2 linked regions of the Arabidopsis thaliana genome follow. The protein of the gene in region 1 purifies or fractionates together with the protein of each later gene. This does not show direct contact. Each region holds a gene or a part of one and is shown on either strand. Other genes may lie near its edges.

Evidence for each region.
Region 2: the proteins of PPR596 (region 1) and AL4 fractionate together in Arabidopsis thaliana (co-fractionation; one large-scale study listed by BioGRID). This does not show direct contact.

Annotation. Positions count from the first base shown.
Region 1 is NC_003070.9:30,177,534-30,185,297, forward strand, and holds PPR596 (PENTATRICOPEPTIDE REPEAT 596), read left to right. Parts: upstream 1-3,373; 5' UTR 3,374-3,544; intron 3,545-3,592; exon of another isoform or gene 3,593-3,698; 5' UTR 3,699-3,731; coding exon 3,732-3,760; intron 3,761-3,950; coding exon 3,951-4,464; intron 4,465-4,550; coding exon 4,551-5,798; 3' UTR 5,799-6,028; downstream 6,029-7,764. Other genes in the region: emb1427 (Spc97 / Spc98 family of spindle pole body (SBP) component), read left to right, coding at 1-614, 727-879, 965-1,064, 1,139-1,233, 1,401-1,586, 1,687-1,743, 1,823-1,894, 2,070-2,168 and 3 more; AT1G80280 (alpha/beta-Hydrolases superfamily protein), read right to left, coding at 6,306-6,416, 6,497-7,024, 7,130-7,764.
Region 2 is NC_003076.8:9,156,290-9,162,227, reverse strand, and holds AL4 (alfin-like 4), read left to right. Parts: upstream 1-1,734; 5' UTR 1,735-2,006; coding exon 2,007-2,103; intron 2,104-2,195; coding exon 2,196-2,228; intron 2,229-2,791; coding exon 2,792-3,020; intron 3,021-3,171; coding exon 3,172-3,304; intron 3,305-3,386; coding exon 3,387-3,662; 3' UTR 3,663-3,910; downstream 3,911-5,938. Other genes in the region: AT5G26200 (Mitochondrial substrate carrier family protein), read right to left, coding at 3,932-4,960. UniProt on the Arabidopsis thaliana protein: Histone-binding component that specifically recognizes H3 tails trimethylated on 'Lys-4' (H3K4me3), which mark transcription start sites of virtually all active genes.

The DNA of each region.
Region 1 (7,764 bases):
TGTCTGAAGTCTTTTGTTTGACACTCGCCGGCCTTATAGGCCATGGTGATCATGTCTCTAGATATCTGTGGAAAGATGAGGCGGATGAGTGGGAGATTTCTCCAACTTTAGCATCATATATAAGTGGAGAGCTTGTGAATGACATGGATAATAAAGATCTTCCAGTTCTCACATGCTCAGAGCGAATGTGGTATAAGTTGTTGGTCGGTGCTGTGCAAGAGAAAAGAGCTATGGAGGCCAAATCAGAACTCCAGAGTGCATGCTATGCTACAGGTGTTAAGGATGGAAATAGTGGTCTCACTGCCCAAAAGGCGTTGCAGGGGTTATTCTGTAATGAAAACCTTGTTGTTTCAGTATCTAAAATGGATCTTGAGAGGAATAGAAATGCTTGGAATGTCTTGAACTTGTCGCAAAACTATTGTCTACCCTCTCTTAATGATGAGAGTCTGTTGAGTGCTGTTTTTGAAGAATCTGGCATGGCAGATGCTGGACTGAGTGGAACAAACTACAAATTTGGATTCCAATTTGGTAGATCTGAATATATTTCTTCTCAGGATGACACAAACCTTCTAGAAACATTATTTCCCTTTCCCACTTTGCTTCCGTCATTCCAGGTACTTTGATACTGATGATTTATGATTATTTTATGGCACTTTTCTTCGATTTTCTCTCATTTGCAATAGTTTCTGTTTGCTTATCTTGAAATCTTTGTGATCAACAAAAAAGCCGAAGCTCCATCTGTCAGAATTCTTACCTTTCCAAAAGAATAGTACACTTCCTTCAAGAGTTCTCAGCTGGTTGCTAAAGGCAGAGCCAATGGATACTCGACTTCCCGTTGTAATTATGCAGGAATGCTTCACAATTTACATAAGGAGGCAGGTAGGGTGATGTAATCTTCAACATTGCTGCTTGTGCCTATGGCATGCATACTCTTGTTACCTTCTGAAAGTTGTGTATGTTTTAGGTGGACTACATTGGCAAAGTGATTTTGTCAAAACTAATGAATGACTGGAAATTGATGCACGAACTTGCTGTATTGCGCGCCATTTACTTGCTAGGTTCAGGTGCGTTTTATGTGCTCAACTGTTTTGGCAATATGGTTGTATCTGAAATCTTAATAACCCCTTAAAACTTTCAGGGGACCTGCTGCAGCATTTTCTGACTGTCATTTTCGATAGGCTGGGCAAGGGAGAGTCATCAAATGATGATTTTGAGTTGAACATAATACTTCAGGTAACCAGGTTTGGTGTATTTTTAAGAGACACTGCTCTCATCTTTATAGTTGTTATCACTTCTAAAATGATTCCGCTTGTTAATTGTTTGCTTATGTATCCGTGTTCTGTTGCCGTATATGTGTTCATACACCAAACTTATTTCTAAAGTGTAATGGTCTTCTACAGGAATCAATTAGAAATTCAGCTGATGCCATGCTGTTAAGCAGTCCTGATTCATTGGTGGTATCTATTTCCAGAGAAGACAGAGACAAAGATGATAAGGGTGACATAATACCCCTTTCTTCAACTCGTAAAAGCCGCGTTAACAGCTTTGGAATAGATTGTCTCGAGTCTCTCAAATTCACATACAAGGTCTAGAGAAACAACTTAGTCTTCCATCCAATCCGTACTGGTATATCTCATAGGCCACATCTATGTGTATTTGAAGAGCTGAACTGTTTTCTTTTTTAAGGTGCCATGGCCACTTGAGCTTATTGCCAATAGTGAGGCCATTAAGAAGTATAACCAGGTAACCCTTTCTCATCCAGCTATTTTTGTGGTAAACAGTTTGTTGTTCCTCTATGTGGTAATTATTTAATTGAAAACAGGTGATGGGATTTTTGTTGAAGGTCAAGCGAGCAAAATATGTGCTTGATAAAGCACGAAGGTGGATGTGGAAGGTCTTTGATATCTCTCAAACTCATTTCTTTCTTCTTAGACTGTATCCCGTGACTTCCAAATCCAGTTTGAAAGAGCCTAATCAGTCTTTTGATCTATACATATAAATATAAAGGGAATCATAAGAATGTGGTTCAGTTTGATAAACTTGATGACTTTGGTGTTTGTGTATGATAGGGTAAAGGCTCTGCAACAAAAATCCGCAAGCACCACTGGTTACTAGAACAAAAGCTCCTCAACTTTGTGGATGCTTTTCATCAATACGTAATGGACAGGGTATTGTCCAATGCTAAATGATTGGTTATAATTACAGTATCATTTTTCGTTGGAGTAATATAAGTTTGTGCTAGAGTTGTGGCAAAATCGAAAGCTGATCACATGGCTTGAGTAAGATGAAAAGCTTGCCATGCTTAACTGTATTTTGTAAGCAGGTATATCACACTGCGTGGCGTGAACTGTGTGAAGCGATGGTAAAAGCAGGGTCTCTGGATGAGGTCATATATGTACATGAAACCTACTTGTTATCGATTCAGCGGCAATGCTTTGTGGTTCAAGAAAAGCTGGTAATGGACCATGAAGGCATTAAGCGACCTCTTAAAATGCATAGTATATATTTGAAGTTGTAGGCTTCTAAAAACCTAGTGTTTGGTGGTTTTTGTATAGTGGGCAATCATCGCAAGTCGGATCAACATGATTCTCGGTTTAGCTCTAGAATTCTACTCAATACAACAGACACTGAGCAGCGGTGGAGCAGTTTCAGCCATCAAGGCTAGATGCGAAATGGAAATAGACCGTATAGAGAAACAATTTGAGGACTGTATTGCTTTCCTTCTCAGAGTAAGTAAATCGAAAACTGTGTACTTGTTGTATTGTGAAGCTATATATAATTGATTAATGCTTAATGGGGGATGGAACTTGCAGGTATTATCTTCGAAGCTGAATGTGGGACACTTCCCTCATTTGGCTGATTTGGTGACCAGAATCAATTACAATTATCACTACATGTCAGATACTGGAAGCTTGATGACTACTTCTGGAGCAGAGACCAACTCATCCAGACCTTGGACTGCCAAATCTGATGTATGAATGGACCGGGAAATTATCGCAATGTTGGATTGTCGCAACACTATCACACGTAATTGTTCAAGCCTCATGCTTTTCTTGTGTCTGGTATCTAATTTCCTGATTATGTATTTTCTGTTTATAAAAGTTCACTGTTTTGAATTAGACATTGTACAAAACTGCTATCAAGGTTTAAAAAAAAAAAAACATTGTTAACATTCTTAACAAGAAATCATCAAAGTTTAAAATCTAATCGTGACCCTACTATGCATAGTACATATATTAAGCATTAACCAATACGACAAAAGAAAAAAAAAAGCATTAACCAAAAACAAAAAGACGATAATTAAGGTTATAGGTTATGAGTTTATTACGAAAAGCCCATTTATGGATGCAATTAAGCAAACCTTGTTGGAGGACAAAATGGTCAAAAGAAAGAAAACGTAAAACCCTAAAACATTTCTTTAACACTCGACTTGTCTCATAAACCCTTTGTGTTTGTAGTCTCTCTACTCTCTAGATCCCATCCCATTTCTTGATCAGCCTCGCGCATTGTGTGCTTACACGTAATCCTCTAGCTTCTTTCCTCGGTATTCCTTGTCTAATTCGAACTTCTCTCTTTTTTTTTCTGGGTCCGATCGTTTCAGTGAAAGGCGTAACCTTTCCTTCGAATCTGATAGCATTGCAAAATGATAATGTTAGTCTGATTTTTGTTGGGTGTGTGTCTTTTGATTGAAAGAGCAGGTAATTTCCAGAGAGATTTTCAACAGAGGAAGCATGTTCGCTCTTTCCAAGGTTTTACGAAGGTAAGGATCTCTGATTTTGTTCGAAAAACTGTTAGGGATGTAGCTATGTATGTGTCTTCAATGGCAGTGAAACAGATTTCGAGTAAAATTTGAAATTTTGAGCATGGTTTTGATTTGCCATTAACATATCTGTGTTGAGTTGGTATTAGCACACTTTTCCAACTTTTGTTTTTGTGTGTGAATTTTACAGAACGCAGAGACTCCGACTGGGAGCTTGTTCTGCTGTGTTTTCAAAAGATATACAATTAGGAGGAGAAAGGAGCTTTGATTCCAATTCGATTGCTTCTACTAAACGTGAAGCTGTGCCAAGATTTTACGAGATCTCCTCTTTGAGTAATCGTGCTCTTTCCTCCAGTGCTGGCACTAAAAGTGATCAAGAGGAAGACGACCTCGAAGACGGTTTCTCAGAACTGGAAGGTTCAAAGTCTGGCCAAGGTTCAACTAGTAGTGATGAAGATGAGGGAAAGCTCTCCGCTGATGAAGAAGAAGAAGAAGAACTAGACCTCATTGAAACCGACGTTAGTAGAAAAACAGTTGAAAAGAAACAATCTGAGCTATTTAAGACCATTGTCTCCGCACCCGGTCTGTCTATAGGTAGTGCTCTTGATAAATGGGTGGAAGAAGGAAATGAGATCACTCGAGTTGAGATTGCTAAGGCAATGCTCCAGCTGCGCAGGCGTCGCATGTATGGAAGAGCGTTACAGGTAGTTCTCTTCTTACTCGTGATTTAACTTTCTGTATCTGAACTGGTTCAAGTGCTTACCTTGGTTTCTTTTTTCTGTTTGTGTAGATGTCAGAATGGTTGGAAGCAAATAAGAAAATTGAAATGACTGAGAGAGATTATGCTTCTCGGTTAGATCTGACAGTTAAGATTCGTGGTTTAGAAAAGGGAGAAGCTTGTATGCAGAAGATCCCAAAATCTTTTAAAGGGGAAGTGCTTTACCGTACCCTCTTGGCGAATTGTGTTGCTGCTGGCAATGTGAAGAAATCCGAACTGGTGTTTAACAAAATGAAGGACTTGGGATTCCCTCTCTCTGGATTTACTTGTGATCAGATGCTTCTGCTCCACAAGAGGATCGACAGGAAGAAAATTGCTGATGTACTATTGCTCATGGAGAAAGAAAATATCAAGCCAAGTCTTCTCACTTACAAAATCCTGATTGATGTCAAAGGTGCAACAAATGACATAAGTGGTATGGAGCAAATTCTGGAGACAATGAAAGATGAAGGTGTTGAACTGGACTTCCAGACGCAAGCTCTCACTGCTAGACACTATTCGGGAGCTGGCCTTAAAGATAAAGCCGAGAAAGTCTTGAAAGAGATGGAAGGTGAAAGCTTAGAGGCAAATCGCCGGGCATTCAAAGATTTGCTCTCCATCTATGCCTCTCTTGGGAGAGAAGATGAAGTGAAAAGAATATGGAAGATCTGTGAATCAAAGCCCTACTTTGAGGAATCCCTTGCTGCAATCCAAGCTTTTGGAAAGCTCAATAAAGTGCAAGAAGCAGAGGCGATTTTTGAGAAGATTGTGAAGATGGACAGAAGAGCTTCTTCTAGTACTTACTCCGTTCTCTTGAGGGTTTACGTAGATCACAAGATGCTCTCAAAGGGTAAGGATCTGGTTAAACGAATGGCTGAGAGCGGTTGCAGGATCGAGGCAACGACATGGGATGCACTCATCAAGCTCTATGTGGAAGCTGGAGAAGTTGAAAAGGCTGATTCTTTGCTGGACAAGGCATCAAAACAGAGCCATACAAAACTGATGATGAACTCCTTCATGTATATCATGGACGAGTACTCAAAACGGGGAGATGTTCATAACACAGAGAAGATATTCCTAAAAATGAGGGAAGCTGGGTATACATCTCGGCTTAGGCAGTTCCAAGCCCTCATGCAGGCTTACATAAACGCCAAATCTCCTGCATATGGAATGCGAGATAGATTGAAGGCGGATAATATCTTTCCAAACAAATCCATGGCTGCACAGTTGGCTCAAGGTGATCCATTTAAGAAGACAGCTATCTCTGATATTCTGGATTGAGTAGTCTCTCTCCCTACACTTTTCTTCTATCTGCTTGCAAGAAGTATCTCATTTGTCGTCCTAACGTTTAGTTTGAGAGAGTAACGTTAAGTTTAAGAACCTGCTTAGTTGCTGTGTTTTTAATGTTTCTATTCGGTTCTTTGGTGATCACACTTCAGAGACCTTCAAGTTTCATGACATTTAGGAGTACACGAAGAAAATAACGTTTTCAAACTGCGCGTATTCTACCGCAAAATTTTACAAAGATTTAGCCACTCTTCTCTTAAGTGGAAAATAAACAGAATTATTCCAAACCATTAAAAACTCTGATGAGAAAAACAGAGAATGTTACAATAACTCTGCTTATAATGAATACAGACTTACTAAGACCTCAATCACCCCAACTTCTTTCCTTTTGGGGCAGACAAAAAAAACTCGCAAACACTAATCGATTGTGAGCTAAGAAGACAACTAGAAGTGATCACTCAGTCACTCACTCCTCACTAAGTACAGTGATCACTCAGTCACTCAGTCCTCACTAAATACAAGTCTGCTTATGAATGGGCACATGGCTGCAAGAAGTGCCTTGGGACACTCCTCATGTGGCAGATGTCCGCATCCTGAGATTGCTACTAGCCTCTGTTTGTTGACATGTATAATGTTAGTTACGTATCAACAGAGTTTAGGTGTTTAATTAGATATAGAGAGGGAGGACTTACAGAGTTTTCGAGTTTTGAAGCCATGACTTGGGAGGACTTGAGGGGAACAAGTGCGTCTTCGGCTCCAGCAACGACTAATACTGGTAAGTTTTCCACTGCCTTGAGAAGTGACAATGCATTTTGAGTTGGAAGCACCATCTCGGATGAGAGTCTGCCTATCTCGTGAAGTGCCTCATCCCAGCCTTCCACATGAAGTGGTGCCTTGTATAGCCTTAAGACATCGGTTGTCATCTTGGCAGGATCATACCAAGCTCTGCGATTCACCACCTGAGCTATTTCAGTGCGTAAAAGCGGACGAACAAGGTGTTTCTTTCCTAGTGATGTGTGCAGAAGTATTCTTGCAAAAGCTGGCACTACTTCCCTCGTCAAGCTTACATTAAGCAAAACCACTCCTTTGACTTTGATGGGATCTTTTGTTTCTAGCAATCTTTGTGCAGCCTTGAGAGCAAGCAAACCTCCATCATCATGGCCAACCAAGACTACAGAAGCAAATCCCATTTCGTGGCAAAAGGCAAGAAGCATGTCTACCTGAAAGCATCAACAGATCCTTGAGTTTTAACATTTCTTTCTAAGAGCAAAGACAAAAAGCTCTCATAAGTAATAAACATAGTCCGGAATTGAACAGAACTTCACCTGATTATCCAGAGTGTAAGGGTTTGGCATCTCTCTTTCTTCCAAATCCTTTTTATGAGGTCTGGCGGTTAATCCCCAACCAGGCCTATCAAATGCAGTGACAACACAGCCAAGTTGATGGGCAAGAGAACTCATCACATGTCTCCAAGAAAACACTCCTCCGCCAAATCCATGGACCAACACTACACCAAATTGGCCGTTTCCACCAACATCTTGCTGTTCCGTGGCACCAAAATTGGACACATTGATGCCATCCTCTCGGCACGATTCTTCCTGAATATCTTTGAAAAGACGAGGAGAAGTAGGAAGACCATCAAGGAGAGGGTCGTGCAAGGAAGAAGAATTGTTAAACAGACTGCTGTAGCTCCTATGGTGGTGATGGTTGAGCTTGTTTCTCGTGACCATGCTCAATATATTCCTGTCAAGCTTCAACCTTCCCACCATCGCCTCTGGCATATTAAGCATAGAGTTGGCTTCAACTGAGGAGGAGATAGAGTGGCGAGGAGAAGCAGGTGTGCAAATCTTGTAATGCACAGTGAGCCCTCTGACTGTAATGAATAAGCTGTCAAGATCAGCAAGCAATCTCGCAGGTAGCTCTCCGTCATCGTTGGATACTGAAGGATGCAGCTTTCGTC
Region 2 (5,938 bases), on another chromosome or scaffold:
TATGCAATCCCAAATTTTAATGTTTTTTCTTTAAGATTAGTGAAAGTTTCACATATGTATCTTTCTCGTCCAATTGAATATGTTATTTTCCAAATATAAAGTTTGATAAGCGAGAATTATATCAAGACGATAATAGAAGTTACCTTAATTCAAATTGTGGAAAAATCATATACATATGAGTAATTGGAAAAGTGGAAGATGAGCCGATTTATATAAATTTTGAATTTTGTTAATTGTGAATGTAATAATAACTAGCGAAAACATTAAGAATTTTTATGCAACCGTCAATGATTTCATGGGATCTTTATCAAAAGATCAAATTGAGAAATATTCAATGACATCTGATGCATATCACAATCTTTGAATGCAATATAGTTCAATGCGCTTATCGTCTTGCTTGCATTATTACAGAACTTATTGATGGTATTGGGATTTTGTATCCAGTTTGGGCAAATAAAGCCATCAGATCACTATCTTGCGTGTCTGTGTGACATGTAATGAGTTTAGCTTGGAGACTTCAAGCCCATTTTCTAGAGTCAAATTTAACGTTGCATTTGATTTAGAAAAAAAATCAAAAGAATTCTTGAAGATCTTGAAGTGTACCTCATACAAAGATTAAGGATTCTAGAGGAGGTGTTTGACATTTGAATCTATCAACATTACTACTCTCTCCGTGTCTCTTCAATTCAATTTAGAAAACAAAAATATATTCATTGCTTTAAGTACTTTGTTCAGTAAAACATAGTTCTTATTCTCTTTTATCAGTCTCACTCTCACCAAATTACCTACAAGTTAAGATTTTCTATCCACATAAAATATCAAAATTGAGGACTGAATCATGATTTTATAGATAACACTACTTCAAAATCTTACTATATTGGAATTAGATATGATTCATAAATTCATGAAATCCATGAAACTACAATTTTATTCCTAGTGTATAGTTCGATCTATCAAATTGTATATGGGTTATCGATATATTTGGATGATTGACACGAAAGAACCAAGTATTTTGAATAAACTTTTTTCCAAAATATTAATAATGCATAGTACTTATTAAAAAATCAAAAAGACCTTGAAAAAGAGAAGAGATTGAACTTATTTATCAAACACCAGATCACCAAAAATTTGGTGCGAAAAAGGTATCTAGTAACTAGTAAGACTATTTAAAAGCTCTCATTAATCAAAACCAGACTATTATTACTCTTTTAAAAAAAAGACTAGACCTCGAGTGAAGAAATAAAATTAACAGTCAAACTTATTTCTCAGATACCAGAATACCAAAAATTGGCGCGAAAGACAAAACGAAACCAAAAAATGTAGAACAAAGTCAAACTTATTTCTTAAATATCAGATTACCGAAATTTAAAGCGAAAAACTGAATATTTGATAAACACTTACCGAAACCTCTCACTAATCTAAAATAAAGTATGTATCCCTTACCATGTTCAAAAAGAGCGCGAATGAAAATATAGAAAACGGTCAAATTTATTTCTGAGTTACCAGATTACCGAACATTTACCGCGAAAAACAGAAAAACGGTCAAATTTATTTCGCAGATACCAGATTACCGAACATTTGTTTCGAAAAAACAGAGTATCTAATAAAACTTTCTGCAATCTTACAACCATTACAATTTAATGTATCATTAACACAAAACTCTTAATTTCAAGCTTGATAAACATCTATTACCCGAAAAATAAGCCAATCCAATTAAAAACATATCCATAGATACAACAACAGAAATCAGGAGATACGCGTCAAGATCTAAGAGGATGAAAGATAAAACTTATCGTGCTCTCCTCCTCATCAGATTCATTTTGCGGACTCCTCCTCATCTTATTAAATCCGCTTAATTGTTTTTGGGTCCGCCCTTTTTCTCTTTCACATCTTTCTTTCTCTCGCAAACCCAAATTCTCTCAGCGCCGGTCAAATACTTGTCTCTCTCTCTCTCTCTCTTTCACTCTTGTCTTGTCTCCTTCGAAGCTGTTTGTTCTGTAAGAAAGATGGAAGCAGGTGGCGCGTACAATCCACGCACTGTTGAAGAGGTGTTTAGGGATTTTAAGGGTCGTAGAGCTGGCATGATTAAGGCTTTAACCACTGGTAACAATTTGTTTTTTCTTTCTTCTTATTACTATCTCAGTTTTGTCACCGGAAAAAAACTGAATTTTGAGATTACCCTTTTGTGTGTGCAGATGTTCAGGAGTTTTTCCGACTTTGTGATCCCGGTGAGTGTTGTTGTTCCTTTGAGATTTGATTTGAATTAACGAAAGTTTTGATTTTTATTTGTGTTTTTTGAATTTTTCTATGTTTTGCTCTGTTTTAATCTGAGTGTTGTTGTTTCAGTGAAGCATTTAGGGTTCATAGTCTCTCTCTCTCTCTCTTTTCTGTTTATGATTTTGTTTAGATTTATTTGAATTGCGCTCCAGTGTCGAAAGTATTGATTTTTGTTTGACTTGGTTCGATTGTGTTTTCAACTAAAGAAAAAATTTGTTTGTGATCCTTGTGAGTGTTGTTGTTCCTTCGAGATTGATTCTCGCCGGCGAAAGTTTGGTTTTTTGAATTTGCTTCGTTGTGGTTTGTTTCAATCTGATTGTTGTTGTTTCAGTGAAGCATTTAGGGTTCATAGATTCTATTGTCTCTGTTTTGTGGATAAAATTGTGATTTTGTCAGATTTATTTGAATTGCAGTGTAGAGTTTGAGCGGAGTCAAAGTGTTGATTTTTTGTTTGACTTGGTTTTAATTTAAGGTTTTTTGAACAATTGTCATCATTTTCCTTTTGTGATTATAGAAAAGGAGAACCTTTGCCTTTACGGACATCCAAATGAGCACTGGGAAGTGAATTTGCCAGCTGAAGAGGTTCCTCCTGAGCTCCCAGAGCCTGTCTTGGGTATCAATTTTGCCAGAGACGGGATGGCGGAAAAGGATTGGTTGTCCCTTGTTGCTGTCCACAGTGATGCTTGGCTTCTTGCTGTTGCTTTCTTTTTTGGAGCCAGGTTTGGATTTGACAAAGCTGATAGGTATGTATATCCTTCTCCTCTTTAAGTCTAATCTTCTTACATCTATGTTCCTTGGTGGTATATAGATGCAAGCCTCTCAGTCACTCATTGTTCTACTCCTTCACCGTTTATGTAGCTCTCTGTGATTTATGTTCTTTCACATTTGTTACAGGAAGAGGCTTTTCAATATGGTGAATGACCTCCCAACAATCTTTGAGGTTGTAGCTGGCACTGCTAAGAAACAAGGAAAAGATAAGTCCTCTGTTTCCAACAACAGCAGCAACAGATCCAAATCAAGCTCCAAGGTAGAGACTTTGTTTTCCACTGTACTTCTTCTCTACAGTTTAATCCTTGTACTAATTCTGGTTTCTTTGTCTCACGTTACAGCGAGGATCTGAATCCCGTGCCAAGTTCTCAAAGCCGGAGCCGAAAGATGATGAGGAGGAGGAAGAGGAAGGTGTGGAAGAGGAGGATGAGGATGAGCAAGGTGAAACACAGTGTGGAGCATGTGGTGAGAGCTATGCAGCTGATGAGTTCTGGATTTGCTGTGACCTCTGTGAGATGTGGTTTCATGGAAAGTGTGTTAAGATAACACCAGCAAGAGCTGAGCACATCAAGCAATACAAGTGCCCTTCTTGCAGCAACAAAAGGGCTCGTTCCTAAATTTGTTGACCGCTCGCTTCTGTGTATCTACCTTTGCATATGATGATGAACAGCTTAACTGTTTGGTTTAGATCAGATTTGTCATATGGATTTGGTAATTTAGGAAGACATTTTAGTTTTTTCATTGTTACATTTTGGCGATTGAAGGGATAACTCTTTGTTTAGGGGTAATGATCTTTTGCTCTGTTTTATGTTTGTTTATTAACATTCTTCAAACTCAATCAAAAGTATTTTGGTTAGTCTTAACACAACAAGGTTTTATCAATATATCATTTCTGCTTCTTTGTTGCTAGGCGCTTCAAGAACTCGTAGGTTGTGATCATCGTTGTTGCGGACATCGACATTGAGACCCATCTTGGTCCTAATCCTCTGTAACAAGCACCAACTCCTCCTTCCTTCATCAAGCTCTTCACTGACTGCATCACTGTCATTGCTCGTCTCCTCCCGTTCTCTTCTGCGTCTAAGACTTGCAACCGCGTCTTGATTGTGTCTACTGGCATAGTTACTAAAGCCGAGCAACCGCTTGCTGTAGCTGCACTCAACGCTTGAACCACCACTGAGCCACCAGCATCTTCCTTGTGGTTGTAGGAGTGCTTGTATCGAGACCAAATTGATTTTTGAGCCAAAGAATAAGACGCCCACCAAACCGCGTTGGAAGGTGCGTAAGTCAAGATCGAGATCCCAAATCCTCTGTAGAACCCTCTTGGTCCATCTGTGTAAAGAATCTTTCTAAAAGCATCAAACCCATTTCTGTATCTGCAAGAGTTCATCACTCCAGGAAGATGCTTACTCAAGGAGACATCGCCTTGAACCATAAGCCCTTGACTCACAATATCAATCGGAGTCCAGACAGTCTGGGCAGCCACAGCCGAGGTCAAACCAGCTGCACCATTAGCAACAGCCAAAGACGTAGTATCAGACAATCCTAACCTAACAGTTGCTTGACCTACACTACTCTTTGTAATCTCTAGAGCAGTCATATAGAGAGCACGAGCCGGGATGGTTCCAAGCAAAGATGTTCCAAAACCCTTGTAAAACCCTTTAAGACCTTCAAGTCTAGCAATAGCCAGAGAAATGTTGGCACATGAGACACGAGTCGGAGAGACTTGTTGCCTTGTTTTGAGAACTACAATAGGGTAAAGAGCAGTGGATACACCGGAGAAAAGAGCAGCACCGAGGAAGAAAAACCTCGATTTATCAAGCATTTGCCAATCTATATCATTTGACATATGTACCTGAGAAGAAGAAGATGAAGTTGTTGCTCTTCTCTTCTCTTCCATCAAAGCACCTAAACTCATTTTGAGCTAATCTTACCTTAAAAACCAAATCAAGATTCCAACTTTAGAGAGTTTTGACCTGAGTAAGAGATGAGAATAGAGTGTATGATTGAATTGTGATCAAAGAGAGAAAATCTCTGTGGATTTATTAGCTTCAAAATCTATGAACTCGTGTATTAATATTATTATAGTGAATATAGAGTCAGAGCCAAAACGATGGGTCGTGTGGATAACATAAAAGGAGCGGCCTTTAACGGACTCAAGAGGTGTGTGAGGAGGAGTAATGGGACTGGGCACGTGGCAAGTGTTGGTTGGTTTATGTTAGAGAAACTCACAGTTTTTAAGGTTACATGAGGCTGAGAAGAGAGTGGCTTCTGTCGGAATCGCCACTTGTTTCATCCTTCTGTGGATTATATTTATTATTTTATTTTATTTTTACTGATTTCTGTAGGTTTTGCATTTGATTATTTTGTGATATAATGTATTTATCAATAACTGTTTTAGTTACATTTTAAATAAAATTAGATGCATATGTATAATAGTATGGATAACAGAGCCTATTTATAGAATTTCTTACATTTTATGGAAATAAATAACTTTTTTAAAAGGTCCAAGAAATAGTCTAGATTGCAAATGCAAGTTTTCGATTGTAAATGAAAGTTTATTGATTTTAGATGATAAGTAAAGTGTTAAGTGTATAGTGTTTTGACAAACAGAATAATACTAAATCTTGTGATCTATGTGCTCTCTATACTAGTAGTCTAGTACTTAATATAATTGTCTTTATGTTTATTTTTGTCAATCTTCTCGGTTCTTATGATCAAATGCTTGTTTATCATTGTTAAATCGTTTGATTGCATGTAATTTCGTTTGATTTTTCTTAGGATAAAGTAGAAAAATCATTTCAAACTGATTTCCATAATCTCACAATTTACGAGAGTCAGCCGTTGATTCCTCATATGTCTCGTCAATTTTAACTGAAAAGCCTCGAATTCAAGG